Linked DNA regions of Lepisosteus oculatus. The protein of the gene in region 2 binds, or shares a complex with, the protein of the main gene of each other region. Links are inferred from orthologs where the notes say so. Each region holds a gene or a part of one and is shown on either strand. Other genes may lie near its edges.

Region 1 (9,961 bases), on a different chromosome or scaffold from region 2:
CAAGTATGACTAACATTCACACACAAATATCTATTAGTCACAGAAACTAAAAATCAATATAATAGTAAAACGCACTTGTAGTAGTTCTGCGGAAAGTAGCTCAATATGTCATTAAGAGATCTTTTGCAAATGAGTTAAAACGTGGTATCAAGTTGAGATTCACACACAAGGAAGTCATACCATTGATCGTACAGGGGCTGGCCTTGCCTGGCTCTCATGCCACAGCTGGCACATACTGTATAGACCCAGGGCTTTTCCTGACCCACCCAACTCTTTTATCAGTTGACACAACAGAGAAAGCGGCAGCTTGAAATCGATAGGCCCCTCCTTCAAGTTTTACAGGAGGAAAAAAAGGCAGGTGTTATGGATATAACAACATTTCAATATTCAAAGTGTCAGCAAAGAAGGAGACAGGTGGTTTTGCTTTGTAGAACCTATTTGTTTGTTTTCAGTGTCATGTCTTAAATGTACTGTAGTTTATGTACTGCACGCTGGACTGGAGAAGATGCCTCCATCCTTCAGATGAGACGTAAAATCGACTTCCCGACTCTCTGTGGTCATTACAAATGCAAATACAGATCCCAGGACATTTCCCAAGAGTAGGGGTGTTAACCCTGGCGTCCTGGCTGAATTTCCTCCTGGCCTTTACCAATCATGGCCTCCTAATAATCCCCATCTATGAATTGGCTTCATCACTCTGTTCTCCTCCCCACTGACAGCTGATGTGTGGTGAGTGTTCTGGCACACTGCGGCTGCTGTTGCACGATCCAGGTGGGGGCTACACATTGGAGTCCCCGTTACCTGTAAATGCCTTTGAGTAGAGTGTCCAGAAAAGCACTATATAAGTAATATATATAAATACATAAACATTTTTTTTTCTAATAAAGCTTCATGAGGTTTTATGCTGGATCTTGACATCTGGTTAAAATTTCCTGCTTAAAATTTAACCCTACAACCAGCTACAATAATATCACAGCTCCTGGTACAGTACAGTATATGATGGATTTACTGTATTTTGATCCCTGATTCCTGATCACCCATGATATAATGAGGGGAAGGTGTATTTAAAAAAACACATGAGGCAGCAAGTGCAACATCAAACTTCTAATATTTATGGTACATGGATTTTATGGTAATTATGGCTTTTAAACAGGCTGCTCAATTCGGTTGTGACCAACAGGAAATGCTTTCATTGTCACACAGGGGAACCAAAGCTCTCCTGAGATTTACTCTGGGAACTGTGCTATCTTTGTAGTGAGTGAATTTTACAAACAGTTTCCACTGGTACTCAAATTCCAGGGTTACGTGGATATGGAGGAAATCATACTAATACTTTCTTGTACTGGCCACCGAATTTAACACTCGTCAGAATATGTCTCATGCAGTAGTGCCAATTAAGAGAAAATTACCCCAATAATGCAATAATGAGTATTATTTTTAGAAGTATCCTATATTTTACACTGCAACCAAATAAAAATGAAACAAGCTTGAGGAACACTAGTAAAATGTGAAAAATTATCATTTATCTTCTCCCTGTAATTAAATCTCAGTTTGTAATGTGCAAACTATTTTACTAAAACCTACTGATAGAATGTGACTGATAGGAACTCCACCTTAGTCAATACCAAGCTGTATAGTAACTGCACTTAGAAGGACTTTGCTGAGTTGCTCAATCTGTGACTCAACTACATTTTTCAATACAACACATGCCACCAGGGCTGGCAAACTTGAGAGGACAAGAAGTCCAAACGGTCTTCCTCCTGACAGCACCAGTCAACTCACTCATCACAAGTACGGTCTTTTAATGAAGCGCCACAGCAGTAAAAAGCCAATCTCACTTCGGCGTTACTGTGAGTTACTCTCAGCAGGTCAAGTGTGAACATCTGAACATGATTCACAGGAATGCATTAAAGGTTACAAACATCAAGAGGTCCTTCGGCCATCTAGCCCATGTGCTGAATGGTGAGGTACTGTAGGTTTTGAACCCATGCCTCCAGAAGAGGAGGCAGTAGACCCTCGTCTATCTCAATATACAGTACAATATGTAAGATGTGTCGATATGGCTCAGCATTGATATGCTTAGGTTTTCAGGTGAAATTCATTTTGCCAGTTCGGTCAATCAAATACCATTTCTCATTTACAGAGACACCCTGAACCATTAATACAGCAGGTTATTCCTGAAGCAATTTAGACCTGGGCACACAAACAGTGTCCAACGTGGGCTATGAACCCCAAACCTTTCAGCTGAGAATCTACAGCACTAAGCACAAGTCCACCCTTCGCCTCTAATTGGCTTTTACCTAATTGTAATGCTACGGAAAACAGAAATGCCTTACAATTTCTTATTCTGCCCCCATGTTAGCAAGCACAGCTATTTTCACACCTATTGAAGAAAATCTGGCACAAAAGTACAGACCTGAGTGGGAAATGAGTGTTTTAGAATGTGGAAACACTAGTGGTGCAAGCTTCTGTTGTATCTTCAGGATGCTAGGACTTTGGATTAAGATTTGTGCTCTTCCTAATTGATATCAGTTATCTAGATTCAGCTGTAGTTAGTCAACCTGTCAGGCTTCCAGACAATACAAAGGCAGGAGGATAAGAAAACACTCTAGAAACAGCAAATCAGGTTTCAAATGATTTAGATAAAATTCAAGACAGGGCAAACAACTGGGAGATCATGTTTAATGTAAGAAATGCCGAATACTACATACGGGTAGCAAAAAGAAAAGAGATATATAGATATAGTGCTGTACCAAATAGGAAGAAGCAAGCTGTAAAAATGACTTAGTTACTGTATGTTAACACATCTTCAGCAACAATGTAAGGATGCAATAAAAAGGCAAACAAAATGCTAAGATCCTGTTAAATACAGAGAATTTAAACCATATGATGTTATGTTAAAATTGTACAATGCAAATGAGTAAGCCCTCATTTAGAATATTATGATATTATTAATATTATGTCAATACAGAACAGATAAGACTATAACGGAACCCGATTCTAAAATCCTCAATTTCAAGTGGAAACTACTTGAAAGTGCATTTAAAACAGAGAATAGGAGACATTTCTTTAAACAAAAGACGGTGGGAATTTTGAACAAGCTACAGTACTCAGCAATGTTGTTGAGGCTAAAAGAACGGTTTCTTTCAAGAGCCAATTTCCAGATCAACTAGCATTAATCTATGGAACGGGCTAGATGTCTGAATGGCCAGTTCTCGCTTGTAGCCTTTCTCAGGTTCTTGTTTTAAGAGATATGCAAGTGAAATGGAGAAATCGAAAGCATGCTGATAAGTTCCTTACTTTCCAAATGCACTCTCTCCACAATTCAGCTGTTCCACGCAATCCTGTTGGCCAATAGCGTACTCACGTGTGCTGCCTTACGAACCTAAAATCCTAATTATACTAAAGGCTTTCATAAAGCTATACTGTAATCAACTGTTGCCGAAAAGCAGGCGTGTGTGAAGCCAGTAAGTTTGAGATAACTGTCGTTAAGGGCCATGCAGTTATAAGTTCTTGATTTCTTAAGGTAAGTGAAGAGGCGGCAGTCATCAGACCGGTATTTGTGAGCACTGACCAGCACTGACAGACATTTCATTTCCATGAACAACTTACCACGTGTTTACAGATCAGCCAAAGGCTCAGGCCCAAACCACATTTAAAAGATGATACAGTTCTGGTGTAGTGTGCTTAGTTACAACACCGATGTATAGTATTACAAAATGACTGCCCTCTGCCTCTTTCCTTCTTCCCAGCTGTCAAAAGACAACGTGAAACCAAGTGACAGATCTCGTCGAGTGTAGACACGTGACCACGAAACATTAAATCACCGACTACCCTTTAACAAATGCATCTTTCGGGAAAAAATGTAATTCATAAATATTTAATTTCACATCATGAATAATTGGATTCTAGGTCCTGACCCACAATTCTATGAAAATGTGCACAAGGCACCCAGACCGAAGTCTACAGTGTTTCTTAGACACGACCAGGATCACTCATATGTACAGTATGTGTGAGAGCTAACTATGCAGAATTACTTTTTGCTCTCTCATTAAGCTATTTAAGAGATTGCTTAGACAAAAATGGTTTCCCTTTCTACCGGAAGCGGACTCACTCAGAAAAACCAAGACCAAGAACTACCAAGAAATACCAAGACCACACATACCTCTTGTGTTAATAATATTCTGCAGGTCGAGTCGAGGCACGGCTTCCGAATCCGTAAATTTGACTATCCCACCTCGCAACACGATATGCAGAAACGAGATTTTCGAAATCTATGACGTGAGCTTTTTTTTTTTGTCTTCTACGATTTTAGCTCTTGCTTAACTTCTTCCTTAACAGGAGTGCACAACTTTTATCCTTGTGTCCGCCACAACGTATCGCACATTTTGATTGCAACAGCTCCACTTATCGGACAAAAATGGGAAAGGAAAGAGGTTCCTGAACCGGAGACACCTATCACGTTACTCCATGCAGCGCCTACAAATTGCGTGGGTGCTAAGTAGTTCAAACAACTCGGGCTCTAGGGCTGGGCTATGACCAAGTTGTAGGAAGTAACTGAAAGCTTGAAAATCAAGTAAAACTACCCGACTAAGAGAATAAAATGCGAAGTTTCTGCCTCAACATATATGCTTTAACAACAGTAACATTCGTTTTTATTATCAATTATTATTTAGAATGCAGAAAAGGACTTTCGACACTTGTTACGTTTTTTTGTATTTCAGACTTTCAGTGTTTTTAACGAATTATTAACAACTGTGGATCACGTCTTATATTTTCTCCCCACTTTGGAAAACCCGCTGCTTGCAAATGACCTGTGAGAGAAGTAACCCCAACAGAGAAAGTCATGGGCAATTAGAACATGAGCTCACCCCTCATGAAAGACTGTTCTCATTGTCTTGAGGTGTCTGATTCATACTGGCACTTTTACACCAGTCTACACTATACAGTATCACCCTGCAACTCACAACTGCCAAACCGCTATATGTCACGATCGGGATCCCTCCTCTTACGGGCGGTCCGACCCTTTCTATTTTAGTTTATTGTGTGCACCTGCAACCTGTCCTGTGTCCCATTATTAAAGCCCGTCGCTCTCGCTATTACTGGCTCAGCAGTGGTAGATGGACGCCCGGAAGCATGCCTACCAGAGGGTCCAGGTGAGACCCGACGGCATAGGCTTCATCACGGCGTCCTGGCCATCTGAGTCCGAGGCTCCGAGCGCCTGGCCTCGTTACCCTGGTTTTATTCCCTGTCCCTGTTCTGGACTACAGCAGGTGTTAACGCCTAATTCTGGCCAAATTCCCCCCTGGCCTATACAATCATGATGTCCTAATAATTCCCTTCATTCCTCTGTTCTCCTCCCCACAGATAGCCAATGTGTGGTGAGCATACCACCAGCATACCACCAGCACCTATGACATATCTTCAGCTTCTAACAGTTACATAATAAATGCTGGTCAAGGGTCAAAGAAACTGTTGTCTCTGAAGCTTACATAAGTCAAAACCAAACACTTCTTCCCTTTCCGGAGCTAAATTACAAACTGTGTTAGTGCAGGAGACAGTCTCTACCGCTTTCTTCATTGAACTGTTAAGTAATGTGTGATTCCAATTCACAACTTGTATGGTTGAATTGGTATGGTCCAGTTGACTAAAAATCTGAATCCTAATACAAACTACATGAAATAAATGATAGCATTTGTCACTGTCACATTTTCTGTGCCCTGTTTAAATTGTATTCCCAGCTTTTATTTCAAACGACTTTGTGGGGACTAATTCATTGCAGGGCAAAATTACATTGCAAAAATGATATTGTGAGATATGATGTTTTTCTGTAACAAAATGGGCTTATGTAAAAGTACTGCATGTTGCACGATCAGATGAGAAGCAGGGAAACATTTTTTGAGCAAATACATTTAATAGGTATATTTTATTTACAGAATACATATACAGTACAAAGCTATAAGACATCACATACATCACACATTCTCTACAGAGGGGGTGCAATCTGTTCTTTTTTCTTCTAGTATAATTAATTGCATGCTAAAGTCCACATAATAAAATTAATATATTTATCACCATATGTTAAATATGATGTTCACACCAAACTAAAAGATCTATAAATAACCTCCATATTTACAAAGCAACTTCAATGGTTCTGAAGGCAGAAAATGATTTCTTAGAAGGCGTTTCAAATTTAAAAAAATAAAAGCCTTTGTTCTGTGATAAGTCAGTAAAAAGCAAACTCAAGCTATACAGACAAAATGATACAAATACGGATCAAGATTAATTTGGATTTGGACAAAATGCCAGTGATAGTACAGCAGGTCATTATTAATCTAAATTAAAATTTAAGGGCAAATGATTGTAAGAAATCATTGTAAGTATTTCTGTTCATGAAGTCCCAGGACCTTTGGACGTTTGAAATGTACGTACTTGGTTTCACTTTTGCTTCTGAAATGTTTGCAGTTTAGGGATGCAGAGGCTCAGGCGGCAGAAAACATTTTCTGTTTTGTTTCTTAATCCTAAAAGGAAGTAGCTCACATACTGAAAACATGGGGATACCCAAAGCAAATATATTATCTGAAAACACACTAAGAAAGGAGCAGACGAATAGAAAAAGTGCTTCGACACTGAGGAACGGGATCATGGGATAGCCCAGGACGAGCCTCTGGGAAGGTCTCTGTGATGTTAATGATATCATACAAGAAGAACAGATTCCTTTGGGAAGTACAGCAGAGACACGCGCACTCTCCTCAAGCCCCTGGAGTGGCCACGCCACTAGTTCCTCCGGGGTTCCAGTCTGTGAGACAGCTGGGACAGCGTCCTCTGGTTATCAACCACATTCAGCTGCCGGACATAGCTCCGCACTTCCTGGTGGTTCTTATTAGCTAGGGAAGCATCTGGATCTGGGGAGAGTGGAAACGCAAAAATGGACAATTAAATCAAAGGGAACTGTAAAGAGAGCCGTAAATAAGCTGTGACATTTCTGAATCACCAGTCCCACGCACTCCCTCACCGTGGCGTCCAGGAAATGTTCTGCTGTAATTGAGGATGACAAATGAAACCCGTCCCTGCTATGTCTGATAACACCATTCAGTTACTTTCCTGAAAGGCTTCATACAGCAAAATATAAATCTAATAATAGATCTTTGAAGAAATTTAACCCCCAGACAAGCTGCAAATAGAGATGTGCTAACAGACTGTACTAACCTATGGATAATACCCTAAGGCACTAAACGATTACTCTTGGATAGTCCATTCAGGCTTGCCCCCAATAAATAATGTTGTCAGAAAAAGTGCAGTTAGAATAAGTTGCCCACCTGCCCTGACGTGCAGATACAATGTCTCATGATTCAAGATGGGCCCGTTCCATGGTGACGTCTGGCGTGTAGTTCGCTCGTTTATGTTGTTCATTTTTGTATTAAGTCCCTTTTTTTGTGTAACACATCCACGTGCAACCATCACCTGTTATTTATTATGTTTGTAATGTACCGTCTACATTGTGTGGTGTTGTACTGTATCGTCTGCTGTACTGTGTATGTCCTGAGAGGTCAGCATGAATAAGAATTCCAGTGGACATGTACAGATGGCAACACACTCCTCTTCTACTACTCTATTTTTTGACAAATAATTTTACACTATACTTATACAGTAAGGCAAGCAATGGATTCCATAAGATCTGACAAAACAATAGACAATAAAAGAACGTGCATAACTAAGAACAGAAACCCTAGGCTCAAGAGAGCTTTTAGGTTTTTGTCCGCGACTTACTGAAAGGCTGACTCCGACAGTATCTCACTATCCTCACTGTGTTGGCAATCATGCGCTGCAAAACAAAACCCAGCAGTGAATTCTTAAAAGGCTCTCATGACCTCCAATTACAGTTTAAGGCACCATACCTGTTGTTCGTCTGCTGTCTATCTTCAATCTCCTAACAACTTAACAGAGCTTCAGCAAGTTTGCAAAGACCAATGGGTAGAAATCGAACCATTCTGGTGTGCAAAGTTGGCAGAAACTCATCCCAGGAGACTCTGGGGCTTGTTCAATAAACTTGTCCAAGTTCACATTTATTGTCATATGTACCCGAGTACAATGACAATACTAAAGGCCAGTACATAGTCACTCAAAGGGGTGAATACTTCTGCAATTACCACAATACAGTTCTTCATTTTTTGCCTTAGTGTTTGCTACCACTTCAAATCTTTCACCCATAAAAGTGTTCAGTTTGATCATTCATGTTTTGATTTGAAACAGCCACTGGAGAAATGTTTGCACATTATTTGTAATTCAGTAAAATAGCACTACACTAGACGGGGAGGGTGTGGTGGCTCAGATGGCAAGGGTGTCTAGCTCCTGACTGGAAGGTCCCAGGTTCAATCCTAGGTAGGGGCAAGCAATGGAGCTTGCTCTAATTCCTCCCAGACAGCTCCCAGGTCCACTCAGCCTGCTTTCCAAATGAGCACCGGGGTTTATCCTTCTGTGGGTAATAGCCAGCCAGAGCATGATGCTGACCACATCACCACCACCTCCAGTGTCAGATGGTCAAGAAAAATGCTGGCCCTTGTCCCCCATTCCCCCCATAGGCCTTTATGGCCTGAAAAGGGACCTACCTAAAATGGATGGGGTGAATACTTTTGAATATGCTCAGTGGCAACATACAAGACTTACCATTTTTTCAAAATTGACAAGGCTGTCTATAAAAGTCTTGTTGCCTTCATGTGTAAACGTCATGTCTAAAGCAAAAAAAGAAAGATCTGTTAGGAACTAAGCCAAAAAATCTATTAGATGGACGATAAGGTACTCTGATGGTTTATATACAGTATAAAAAACGTTGTGATATTTAAATTTGATACTTGGGTAAAAAGATGCAGATGTTTTTAAGAACTGCAAAATACATTACCAAATTAAGTGGGTGCATGAAATTTACAAGCCACAAGTTTTACGGACATGAAGTATTAATTCCATTCTTTTGCCAACTACTCCGAACATTTTTGCTATCCTTCTGAAGCACGTATGTCTCTGTATATGCTAAGAGTCATTCCAAAACACCTTTTATATATTCTTTATATACTGTATCCTTTCCTCTTATAAAAAAGTTATAAGATTCCATGAATGTGTGGCAAGGCATGGTAGTATTATAGTGCAAGTGACCTTTGACACCAGCATCTTACCTTTCATGAGTAAAGGCATGAAGGGAATGATAGGAGGGTCTAGCTTGGCCACAGTCAGCCTATACGCTCTATGGTTTCTGGATGGATCCTGGGAAGACAGTTGACATGGCGATAGCATCATAAACTAGCACAGACAAGACCCCAAGCAAGATCCTACCGACAGCCTGTATCATGAAGGAAGCTACTATGGAGACTGGATTGTGGATAAACTGTACATTTTTAAAACAATTTCTTTCAAACATTAAAAAAAAACTGTCTGAAATGACAATTTCTTTAGATGACAAATTGCTATATTTTAAACTAACCGACTACCCATCTGTGACGGAGTCACTATACGGGTCACTGTTGTCGTCAAAATATGACCCAACGCGTGGAATTAGCTAGGATTTTGGTTTTGATTTTTTTCCCATTTTTTAAGGATTCATTTTGTAAAGCAAAGATAATGAAAGAGGAGCCAGGACCATCAAAAAAGAGGGTAAAAACATACATTTATTCCCAAACTGGGAAAGCTAATTTCCTTTCACCAGTTTCAAAGACAGAAGCATTTGCTACCAGAGCGTAGCCTTGAGAAAAATTAGCTATTTTGAACTGCATCTTGACTCCATGCAAAAACAGATTTGGACAAGTAATGTTGAGCAGTTAAAGGACATTTTAAATTCACTTTTCTAAACGTCTGTCAAAAGGCAAGCCCAACACAGAGGTGTCGTTTTGCAGTAGCCATGGACTGGTGAAACACAGGAAATCATTCACTGATGGAGACGTTATTAAGCAAGCGATGTTTTTTTAGGTCA
Region 2 (9,789 bases):
GGCTGCTTGCGTTGTGGGTGGAAGAGTTGCGGAATCGTGGAGCGGCTGAGGTTGTTGTCCAGCACAATGAAGAGACCGGCAAAGAAGCACTGGACTGTGAGGTGCAGGAACTCGTAGTGTTTGCCGCCCCGGGAAGAAAGGCTTTTAACAAGGACAAGGAAGCCTGCGAAGAGGTCCTCCTCTGTAACCCCGCACTGCTGGAGCTCCAGGTCCGAAAACACATAACTAGAGGACACAAGGCCACCCAAAGCCAACCTGCCCAGGTGCAGAAGTATGTGTGCATGATCGTGCATCCAAGTAGCCCCCAGGGGGCACTGCTGAGGGTGGGAGTGCTGTAGGAAGTGCTGAAGAATCATCAGGTAGACATCAGTGATGGTCTGTGGGCTACCCCCTCCCCGTCCCAGAAGCTCCTCGTGGCATTTGGAGACAATCCAGCAAAAGACCGGGATGTGACACAGCCCCAGGAGTGCCGTGTTGCCCCGCAAGGTGTCCATGACACAGGTAGCAATGCTGGGGTCACTGTGGTGCTTCTTCACAAAAGAGCTGATCCCATCCTGCGAGAAACCCCTCAGGGAGACTTCCTTCCGGATGTACTTTCTCAAAGAGGGTCCCACCACATCCGGCCGGCTTGTGACCAGCTTGCAGACGCCCTTCATCAGGCTGCCCTGGAAAAGGCTGAAGAGCATGGTGGGCACCGAAGTGGGCTGCGTCGGGGAACACTGCCCCTGCTCGTCCGTAAAGCGCATCCTGAGCTCATCCAGGCCATCGAAGGTGAAGAGGACCCTGTGGGGCTGGTCCAGGATGAAGTGGAATATCAGGTCCTGGTCAGCGTCCGGCCAGCAGCAGTGCTGGAAGAGCAGCTCCCGCAAACACAGTTCCTGGTGCATGGCGCTCAGCCGCCGGCAGCTGAAAGGGAACAGCAGGACAAAGTCCTGCAGCGCCGCCTCTCCAGCCCACAGCAGATGCAGGCGCTGCAGCAGAGTACTCTTCCCACTTCCAGCCTCGCCCGATATCAGCACTGTGTCCGCCTCCTTGTTCACGACCCCGACGGGAGACAAGATGTCCTCCAGGCCCAGAGGTCGCTGTGGCTCCCCAGAACCCTGCGCAACCTCCAGCACCCCTTCCGTGTAGATGTCCTCCAGAGACAGGTTCTCCATCCCACCGTACATGCTGAGGAACCGAGACTGGGCTGAGACCATGCTTCTCAGCTTCCTCTGGTATGTCAGAGGAACCGGATCTAGGAAACAAAGCCAGCGCACTGTATGTTTATCACTGCAACACAAAAATAGCACTGCTGAAACAGGTTTTGAGGAAAGGGAGTGATCACGATAAAGAAGTTCAAGTAGGCAGCTGTGTGGGCTGCAAAGGAACAGGTAAAGGTTAATTCCATGCTGAAAGGAAAAGAAAAATGACGCAATGTTTGGGCTGTGGAGCCTTTTTCAGATGCGACACTGGTCGGACACTTGAAGGAGGCTGCACGGACAAAACGATGAGTCTCTTTTCTTTTCCGTTCAGCCTGGAATAAACCTTTACCTGTTCCGTGATCATGTTAATGCTTATCAGGCTTTTAAATGAAATTGCACCAGTTTTGTCCAATATAACTAGTCCAGTGTTCACAGCACTGAATGGGAGAAAAAAAAAGTTTTAACAGGACTGATTTCCCCCCCAATAGATGAACACTTGGTTTGGTTGAGTCCAAGAACAGGTTTTACCAAAATGTTCCCAATATGATGATTCTGGGTGGATGGTGCGCACGATGGCGCAGTGGGGAGCTTTGCTGGAGCCCTGGGTTAGATTCTGGACCTGCGGTGCTGTCTGTGTGGCGTTTGTAGTTAGTTGTATATAGTTTGTAAACCTGGGTACGCTTGGGGTTTTGCCAGCTGCTCCAGTTTCCTCCCACAGTACAAAAAAACAAGTGCAGCTCAATTGGCTTCTGGGAAAATTGGTCCTAGTGTGAGTGTATACGACTCTGTGTGTGCCCTCTGATGGACTGGCATCCTGTCCAGGAAGTATCCTGCATTGTGTCTGCTGCATGCTGGGATAGGCATTGGCTCCCCCACGGCCCTGATTTGAATGAAGTGGCCAGAAACTGAAGCGATGGATTGCTTGATGAATGGAATTATAATGATTCGATATTAAATGTTGCCCACTCTGTTCCCAGACATACCTGGTTTGTGTGTGTCATCCGTCAGAGGCTGCGTGGGTCCTTTTCCTGTCTGCTGGATGTATGACAACAGGACCTCAGCTGCTGCCTCTCCCTTTGATCCGGCAAGATCCAGCAGTCTCCTGGCCTGCGCAACACAGACGCTTGACACCACCGGCATCTCGCAGGCTCCTGGTGTCCGGACCACAGAACCAAAAGCAGGCTCCAGGTGTCCAGACCAGAGAGACCCAACAGCAGGTTCCTGGTGCACGGACCACAGAACCAACAGCCGCCTCCAGCACATTCTTGACACTTGACGTATGTGTATGTACACTGCATTCTCTCACACTTCAACTGAAATGTGATTTGTGCATTAATCTGACTGCATTCAGTTACTGTTAGGGCACATATCTTCCTTTTAATGCTGCGGTATGAAAGCCATGCTCTGTCTCTCCAGGAAAAGGCAGTTTTGTTCATATTTAACAGATAGTATTACAGAACCACACTAAAAGAACACGTCTTTTCAGAAATAAGGCAACAATGACTGCTTAGTGCTGGATTTATTTATGTGAACTATCAATGTTTATATAAAGCATCATATCCCAGCTCAGGAATCCATCATGAAGACTGCGTACAGGACTGATCCCGTCAGACCAGACTTGTGAGCACAGAATTTCATAAGGCAGCAACATTGAGAAGCTAATAGCGTAATTTGAAAATCCTATGTGCACAGGAAGGTGTTGGATCCAGACAGATCTCTCAAATCCTGCGAAAAGAGACATGCAAAACTTGTCTGATGAAGTGCAAATTCCTCGGCTTCCCTTACCTGTTGCGAGGGTGTGTATATGGGCAACAGGACTTCATCGCAGTCATAAGCGCTGAAGCAACCTGCTTCCCTGAGGGTCCTCAGAGCCCCACCAGTGTTGCCATGGAGCTTCCTCACGAGACTGGGCCGCTCCCTCTGCAGGGTCCGAGTGCCAGTGGAGGGGATCTGCTCGGCTCCTCTGACCGGGCAGCTGCAGTTCCCCAGGGACAAGCCAGCTTTCTGATCCTGCGGGAGCACCTGGCCGATAGCTGTCAGCAGGAACTGGCAAGCCATCTCTCCTTTGCTCCAGAGGAGGTCAAGCAGTTCCCGGGCAGTAACGTGCAAGGCCTGCCCCGGAGCCCGCAGGCTCTCATAATCCTCCCCCAGCAGGACGTCCCAGGCCAGCAGGAGGTCCAACACGCTCTCCAGCCCGTCTGCCGCCCCCCCGCCCAGCACCCTCACCAGCTCAGTCCTCTGCGTCTGCACCAAGAGCTGGGCGCGCATGCCTCATCCTTCAGCACGGCCCTCCAAGACTCCCGCCAGACAGCAGCCCCACTCCAGCTTGCTGGAAGACAGAAGACTTCCACAGCACAGTTACTGACCTCGACTTGAGAAGGCAGTCGGACAGAAGCCCAGCAGGCGAAACTGACCTGATCTGGCTGCGCCAGTGGGCGGCTTGAAGTCGATTACTATTGCTGACCTCCTTGAGCTCTCTCAACAGTTCTGACACTACTGGAGCTCCACACCCACAGCAAAGTGGCGCTTGCAAAACAGCACAGGAAGCATCGCCTTCCTGGCATACAGTACTTACAGTGATGAAGAACTTCCCTTCGTGATGCAAACAGCTCCCTCAAAACGAAAGAGAAAATGCACCAAGCCTTGCCTTTACTACCCGGAGAAAATGCCCGACAGGCCGGGTTCTCCCCGTGTGCTCGGCAGACCTGTGACCCGTGAAAGCGCGCTCTCAACGCGGCAGACAGCGCGACTCACAGTACGTGCGACCTCCTGGCAAAGTCGAGAAATTGACCTACGGCAAAGAAGTGAAATGGGGAAGAGGTGTGCCAAAGGCGATGGGGGGTGTTCTTAAATTCAGTATGAAAATAATGTCTCCTTTTTTACTAAAGACAGCTGCAATCTAGCAATTTCAGATTTCCAAAACACGCCCCTGGACACAAGCCCAATGCTAATTTGGTGCAACCTCTGAATAGGTTGCTGAGCAGGTCACTGTAGAAGTGGCACAAAATCACCTGTAGGTTTTAATTGTGAAGTCTGACGGTCCTGTAGAACGCTTTCTGTTATTTTCGTACGTGCCAGTCAAATTGTTACCGGAGAATCCTTTTTCAGGTTAAATGGCGTCCCAAGACTTTTCGGCTCCTAACTACTGATTTCGTTAAATGTTTTTTTTCATGATAACTGGATTTTATTTTTCATCCGCCTTCCTTCATATCACTTTTGCCGGGGTCTGGCTGTTTTCCCCAGCTTCAGCTGAATGCGAACTACACAATCATTTTGGCCCGGAATAAAACATGCGCTGGTTAATCCTGGAGGTTCTACTTAAGATGTAAGGAATTGCATGTAAGAGAATAAAACCGCACTTTTAATTGTATTCACTAAAGATGTCAAAATGCGGGATTGACGTTTATCCCTCATAGAGTCTATTACACGAGTCTATCAACTCCTAAGAAGCGGTCTTCATTAAATTTTCTCAGCGTTGGAGTTCTGTTCACTGATATTTGTTATTGTGATTATATTACTATATTATTGTTGTAACACGTACAACAGTACAAATAAACACGCACGAAGTGTCAATGTTGACCGTAAAGGAGAAGCGTCTCCAGCAAGCGGCCTCGTGGATCTAGGGTGTTAGACTGATGACTGTGTATACTGTATATATATATATGTACACACACGCGTGTTTTACAGAATCCCTAAAAGATACTCCCTGAGAGGACAAACAGACGGAGAAGCCTTACTGGGGAACCAGGTCCGTGAGGGGCGGCACGCAGGACGGCATACAATCTGGAGACGCTCGTTAACTCGCTGCACCGGTGCACTGAAGGAGTCGGATAGTTTCAGCTTCACCGTCCGTTTCTTTTCGAGAATCAAATCTGGAGCCTATTTTGCGTATAAATAAGGTTTAAATCCAAACGTTTCTTTGACCAACATCGCAGACGTGGACAACCGAAACTAACATAAAAGGCAAATGCTGACAAGATTAAAAAATCCGAGACGAGACAATTTCTTACGTGTCAGCTGCATTCTTGTCCTACAGTAAAAGCTTCCAGTCCCGGTGACCCACACACACACCTGTTGGTTTTGTCCCAGCCGAGTCCTCAGTTATACAGTCAAACCCTCCATTGACTTAGTAGTAAAAAGATTAATTTGAACTGCCTGTTCCCCAGCTCTTAAGCATGTTGGAACTTGAACCGTGTAATTTCGTAAATGAAATAAAATGCAAATATTCAATTGAGGCAACTTCTGAGATCAAGTAAGACTTCGGTTCTCTGATGAAGGTGGGCTGGGATCCGCTGGTCTACAGTGATCAAACGACACCTTATTCCGTCCCGCCCCCACATACAGAAACAGGTGCCCGATCGCGTTTGGATTTCTTTTGTATCTAAACTTTATTATTACCACTTGAAGAGCAACACTGCTTTACTGTGTATTCCAGTGGTCCCAAGCATAATTGTCCTTAGAATATATTAAAACATGGTAATAGGGGAAGTGACTGTGATTTTGGAACACAGAAATCCAGGTGTGAACACTTGGAACATTTGCAATTAAAAACATCAGGAGAGCTGCTACTGGCTCATATTGACACATTTAAAGACATTTTTTCAATTCAATAAGTGGGGTTGGGGGGGCACTTACCATAGGAATCTCCAACCCTGGTCATTCTGAGCCTCAAACCAGATATTATTAAAGATCACCCCTCAATCACCTGTTATGTAAGGATTAGAGACACTTGGTTAAGTAATTGATCAATTAAGCAAGTAATGGGTCAGTGAGAGGACCACTTGTCTCGCTGAATGTCTTAAATACACCAGTTCCTTCAGAAACTGATGATGTAAAGGCTGCCTCTAAAGTCTGGACTGGGGCTTTTCAGGATCAGGGTTGGAGATGTCTGACACAGATCCTGGAGATCCTTACATTTACTTAGTTCAGGTCTCCCGTCTCCTGCATCTAAAGATTTAGAACACTTTGAAGTTATTGATCAAATTGAACAAATAGTTTGTTTAATGACCTTTTCCTTCACAAGATGAGGGGTATTCACATTTTTGTTCTAAAGTATCTTTTACGATACTTAAATTACCTTACATGGCCCACTGGACTGGAAAGTCAGCAGCACCAGAGCTGGCCTCTGGCTTTTTTAGCCTGCTTGTTTTAAGGGGTTGGTCCTGCTCTTGGTATGAGCCACTTTCCTTGGTGGGTCCGAGTGAAGGGAAGCGATTGCAAGATCTGACTCAGAAGCCAGCTGATTCATCTCTGCCCTGCACACACAAGCACCACTCCTTCCCTGCACACACAGACCTCCACCCCCTCTCCACAGTGTGAGCGCAGACCAATCACAGTACACATCGCAGACCAGCACTTCCTTCCTCAAAGCCCGAGACCTGTTTCTCTTTTTCTCCCCCTAGGCAGTGCCATTTGACAGAGTCTAGCGTGACCTTGCAGGGCCAGAACGCCCAGGCTAACAGGATGCTCACCTCCGTCAATATGGCATATTCATCCTTGGTAAGAGAGCGCAACACGTGAGCATGGTGTGGAACTGAAAACATTAACAGGAATACACTGGCACGGCAGTGCGGGTAAGCAGCCCAGTTTTATGTTATATTTCAGCTCCTGATGCAAACAGAACAGGGAGGTTCAGTGCTCACCAGCCAAGTGTATTGTAGGAGGTCAGAGTTCAGAGGTCAGAGGCCAGGGGTAAAACCCAGTTCGTCACAATTTATGCTGGTTTCAGACCCGCGCTTGTCCACAGAGGTGCTATACTACAAAGCCATGTAGAGCATCACTTCCTCATTTTACAGACTCGCCAAACTGTCAGCTGGGATACAAACAGAGAGAGAACCTTTGAGAGAGGAAGCCCAGTGTTTTGGCTAGACTGTGGATCAAGTGAAAGAAAAAGTAAAATAATGTTATTATCCCATAAAGGAGGAATTTTCAGTTAAGTACACCAACAGCATTGTTAATAGCAACGACTTCGAAAGGACGGGTACCCCCTAGAATACATTTGAGTTTATCTAGTTTCTCTGGGGAAACTGATTAATTATTCTTCAAACACAAAGCTTTCATTGTGGTTGTGTAGTTTGGATTCGTATGGGTTTTCATTTCCATTTGACCTTGACTGCAGTGGAGAGCTCAGCTCTGCCTGCAGAACTGCAGCTGTAGCTGGTTGATCTCTAGCCCAGTTGCACTCACTTATCCACAGGCTACAGCCTGGGCTCTTGCTGCGCTTCCCAGAGATATCCGCGCAACACGAATTTCTAAATTCTCTACATCACTCCTTTAAGAAAATGAAAGCACAGATTGATTTTAAAAGACCTCCGGATCTTTCCCCAAGTGCAGTTTGCATTTCTAAGTTGTTGTTTCCAATGGAGACCTCTAAAGACAAAGCAGTGCCTCAGAGAAATATTTCTAAAATTTTGTGCTCTCTCCCCTGTCCCATTCATGACACTGTTCTTCTTCTTTTATTCAGAAATCACTTACAGGATAATCACAGACTAATGGTTAGGAAACAACCCAATTAATCATATCGGAAACGTGCAGATTAATTTAATTGTCGACTGTGCTTCAAAGCTAGGCTTTTATGCATGTCCATATCAAGATTATTTGTAGTATATGAAATGCCCGTATTCTCCATCATAACATTCCAGTTAGAGAACGAGCAAAATTCAGATAAAATATGAAAGCATCACAACTCCTAGATGGCTATAAAATCAGAATGGTAACAAATTAAAAACCCTTCAGCTCATCACACCCGTTTTGGCTGCAAGATCTCATCCATCTGTTTCTCAAGGGTTCACAGGGAATCGGCTTCAATCCAGCATCTTGGTGGCTTGTTCCAGGCACCCATCCCCTGTTTGTAAAAGAGTGCTTTCAATTCTCAGTCCTCAGTGTGCTTCCTCATATCTTCCAGTTGTGCCCGCTGCTCTTTGCAATGAAAGTAAGACACTAGGACTCTGTATACAATATCTATTGACTATACTGTATGTGTCTCATGTCCTTTGCATAGAAAGTAAGACACTAGGACTCTGTTTACAATATCTATTGATTATATGTGTCTCATGTCCTTTGCAATGGAAGTAAGACACTAGGACTCTGTATACAATATCCATTGACTATACTGTATGTGTCTCATGTCCTTTGCAATGGAAGTAAGACACTAGGACTCTGTGTACTCTGTGTCCCATCACAGGGAGACCCAGACTGTTCTGCCAATGGGGGATACCTGTGATGATGGGCAGATGGGTCCCTGCCTGGACGAGGATTATGGATTGACGCAGCCGGCAGCGGAGTCTGACACCCGGACAGGGCACCGTGTCCATCATGCCCCGGCTTCACCACCAAGTCCCCAGCTGGACCCTGCAGCTCTCGGTTCGTGAAACACTTCGCCTCTTTAGAACGCAGTGCTTGAAGCCCAGGCGTGCTGCTGCAGAGCAGAGAAACCGCCGGAATACAGTGAAACACAAACTCGTTTCTAAGAGTCTTTTATTTTTGTCACTGTCTTCCGTGCTTGTGGCCGTGTGTCCGCATGTGCGCGCTGCAGGCGGGGATCTGAGCCCCAGCTCCAGCTCCTCCATGACCACGAAGGAGCTGCAGGAGTACTGGCAGGGGGTGAAGTCCCGGGAGAAGCCGGTTAAGCTGCTGTTCGAGATCCCCTCCGCCCGCATCGTGGAGCAGCCCCTGTGCAGATACGTGGTGAGCTCACTGAGGCGATATCCCAGGTGCAGGAAGGAGAAAAGAGGCCAGATTGGACGGTTTGCTCGCTGCTCGACCGCAGTGGAAATGGCTTTGAGGTTTGAAGTCTGCGTGGCTCATAAGAACATAAGTGAATTTGTGAAACAGAATGGGTCATTCGGAAAAACATAATAAAGAGTTACAAACGAGAGGAGGCCATTTGGCCCATCAAGCCTGTTAGCTCGTTAGTGAGTTAATGAGTAGCTGATAGATCCAAAGATCTCATCTGGCCAATTCCTGAAGAAAGTCAGGGTACCAGCTTCAACAACATGGCTGGGTAGCTGTCATGAATGCAGATCTTCTGTTACTTGATCTTCTTAATTCACACTGCTCTGTGGCGTAGCTACGTTTGTACCCTTCTGTATTCATTCTGGAAAGGGTTGATAGAATGACGATCCGGATCCCTTGTCCTTTTACCTGGCTCACTGGTGATCCTCACGCAATCCTCCCTCGGGACGGTAACGTCTCTTATATCCGAGTAGAGAGTGTGTGTCCTGGGGACAAATGCCATCTGGGTCTTGACCAGTGTGCCGGGCGGGGGTTAAGACTGTCTGTCCATGTGCGCCGCAGATGTACCAGATCGTGGTGATAAAGTCGGGCAGCTACGACGCCAAGCAGGTGACCATCGAGCGGCGCTACTCGGACTTCGAGCGCCTCCAGCAGACGCTGCTGCGCGACTTCAGCGAGGAGCTGGAGGAGGTGTCCTTCCCGAGGAAGAGGCTGACGAGCAACTTTGCCCAGGAAAGCATCGACGAGCGCCGGGTGGCGTTCAGGGACTACCTGGCGCGTCTGTACGCGCTGCGCTGCGTCCGCCACTCCCCCGCCTTCCTGGCCTTCTTCACCGAGCCGGAGCTGCGGCAGGCCCACGTCTGCCTGCGCG

What was found.
Region 1: nod2 (region 2) and map3k20a share a complex: the UniProt entries of both Homo sapiens proteins name them as parts of the signaling complex. The link is inferred for Lepisosteus oculatus from reciprocal best matches to the Homo sapiens genes NOD2 and MAP3K20.

Annotation. Positions count from the first base shown.
Region 1 is NC_090707.1:16,732,155-16,742,115, reverse strand, and holds the start of map3k20a (mitogen-activated protein kinase kinase kinase 20), read right to left. Parts: upstream 4,404-9,961; 5' UTR 4,166-4,403; intron 3,569-4,165; exon of another isoform or gene 3,301-3,568; intron 1-3,300. Other genes in the region: rapgef4a (rap guanine nucleotide exchange factor 4), read right to left, coding at 6,778-6,905, 7,771-7,825, 8,668-8,732, 9,171-9,258. UniProt on the Homo sapiens protein: Stress-activated component of a protein kinase signal transduction cascade that promotes programmed cell death in response to various stress, such as ribosomal stress, osmotic shock and ionizing radiation.
Region 2 is NC_090715.1:2,168,399-2,178,187, reverse strand, and holds the start of nod2 (nucleotide-binding oligomerization domain-containing protein 2), read right to left. Parts: upstream 3,958-9,789; 5' UTR 3,453-3,957; coding exon 2,970-3,452; intron 2,292-2,969; coding exon 2,168-2,291; intron 1,238-2,167; coding exon 1-1,237. Other genes in the region: snx20 (sorting nexin-20), read left to right, coding at 8,390-8,546, 8,719-8,870, 9,480-9,789. UniProt on the Homo sapiens protein: Pattern recognition receptor (PRR) that detects bacterial peptidoglycan fragments and other danger signals and plays an important role in gastrointestinal immunity.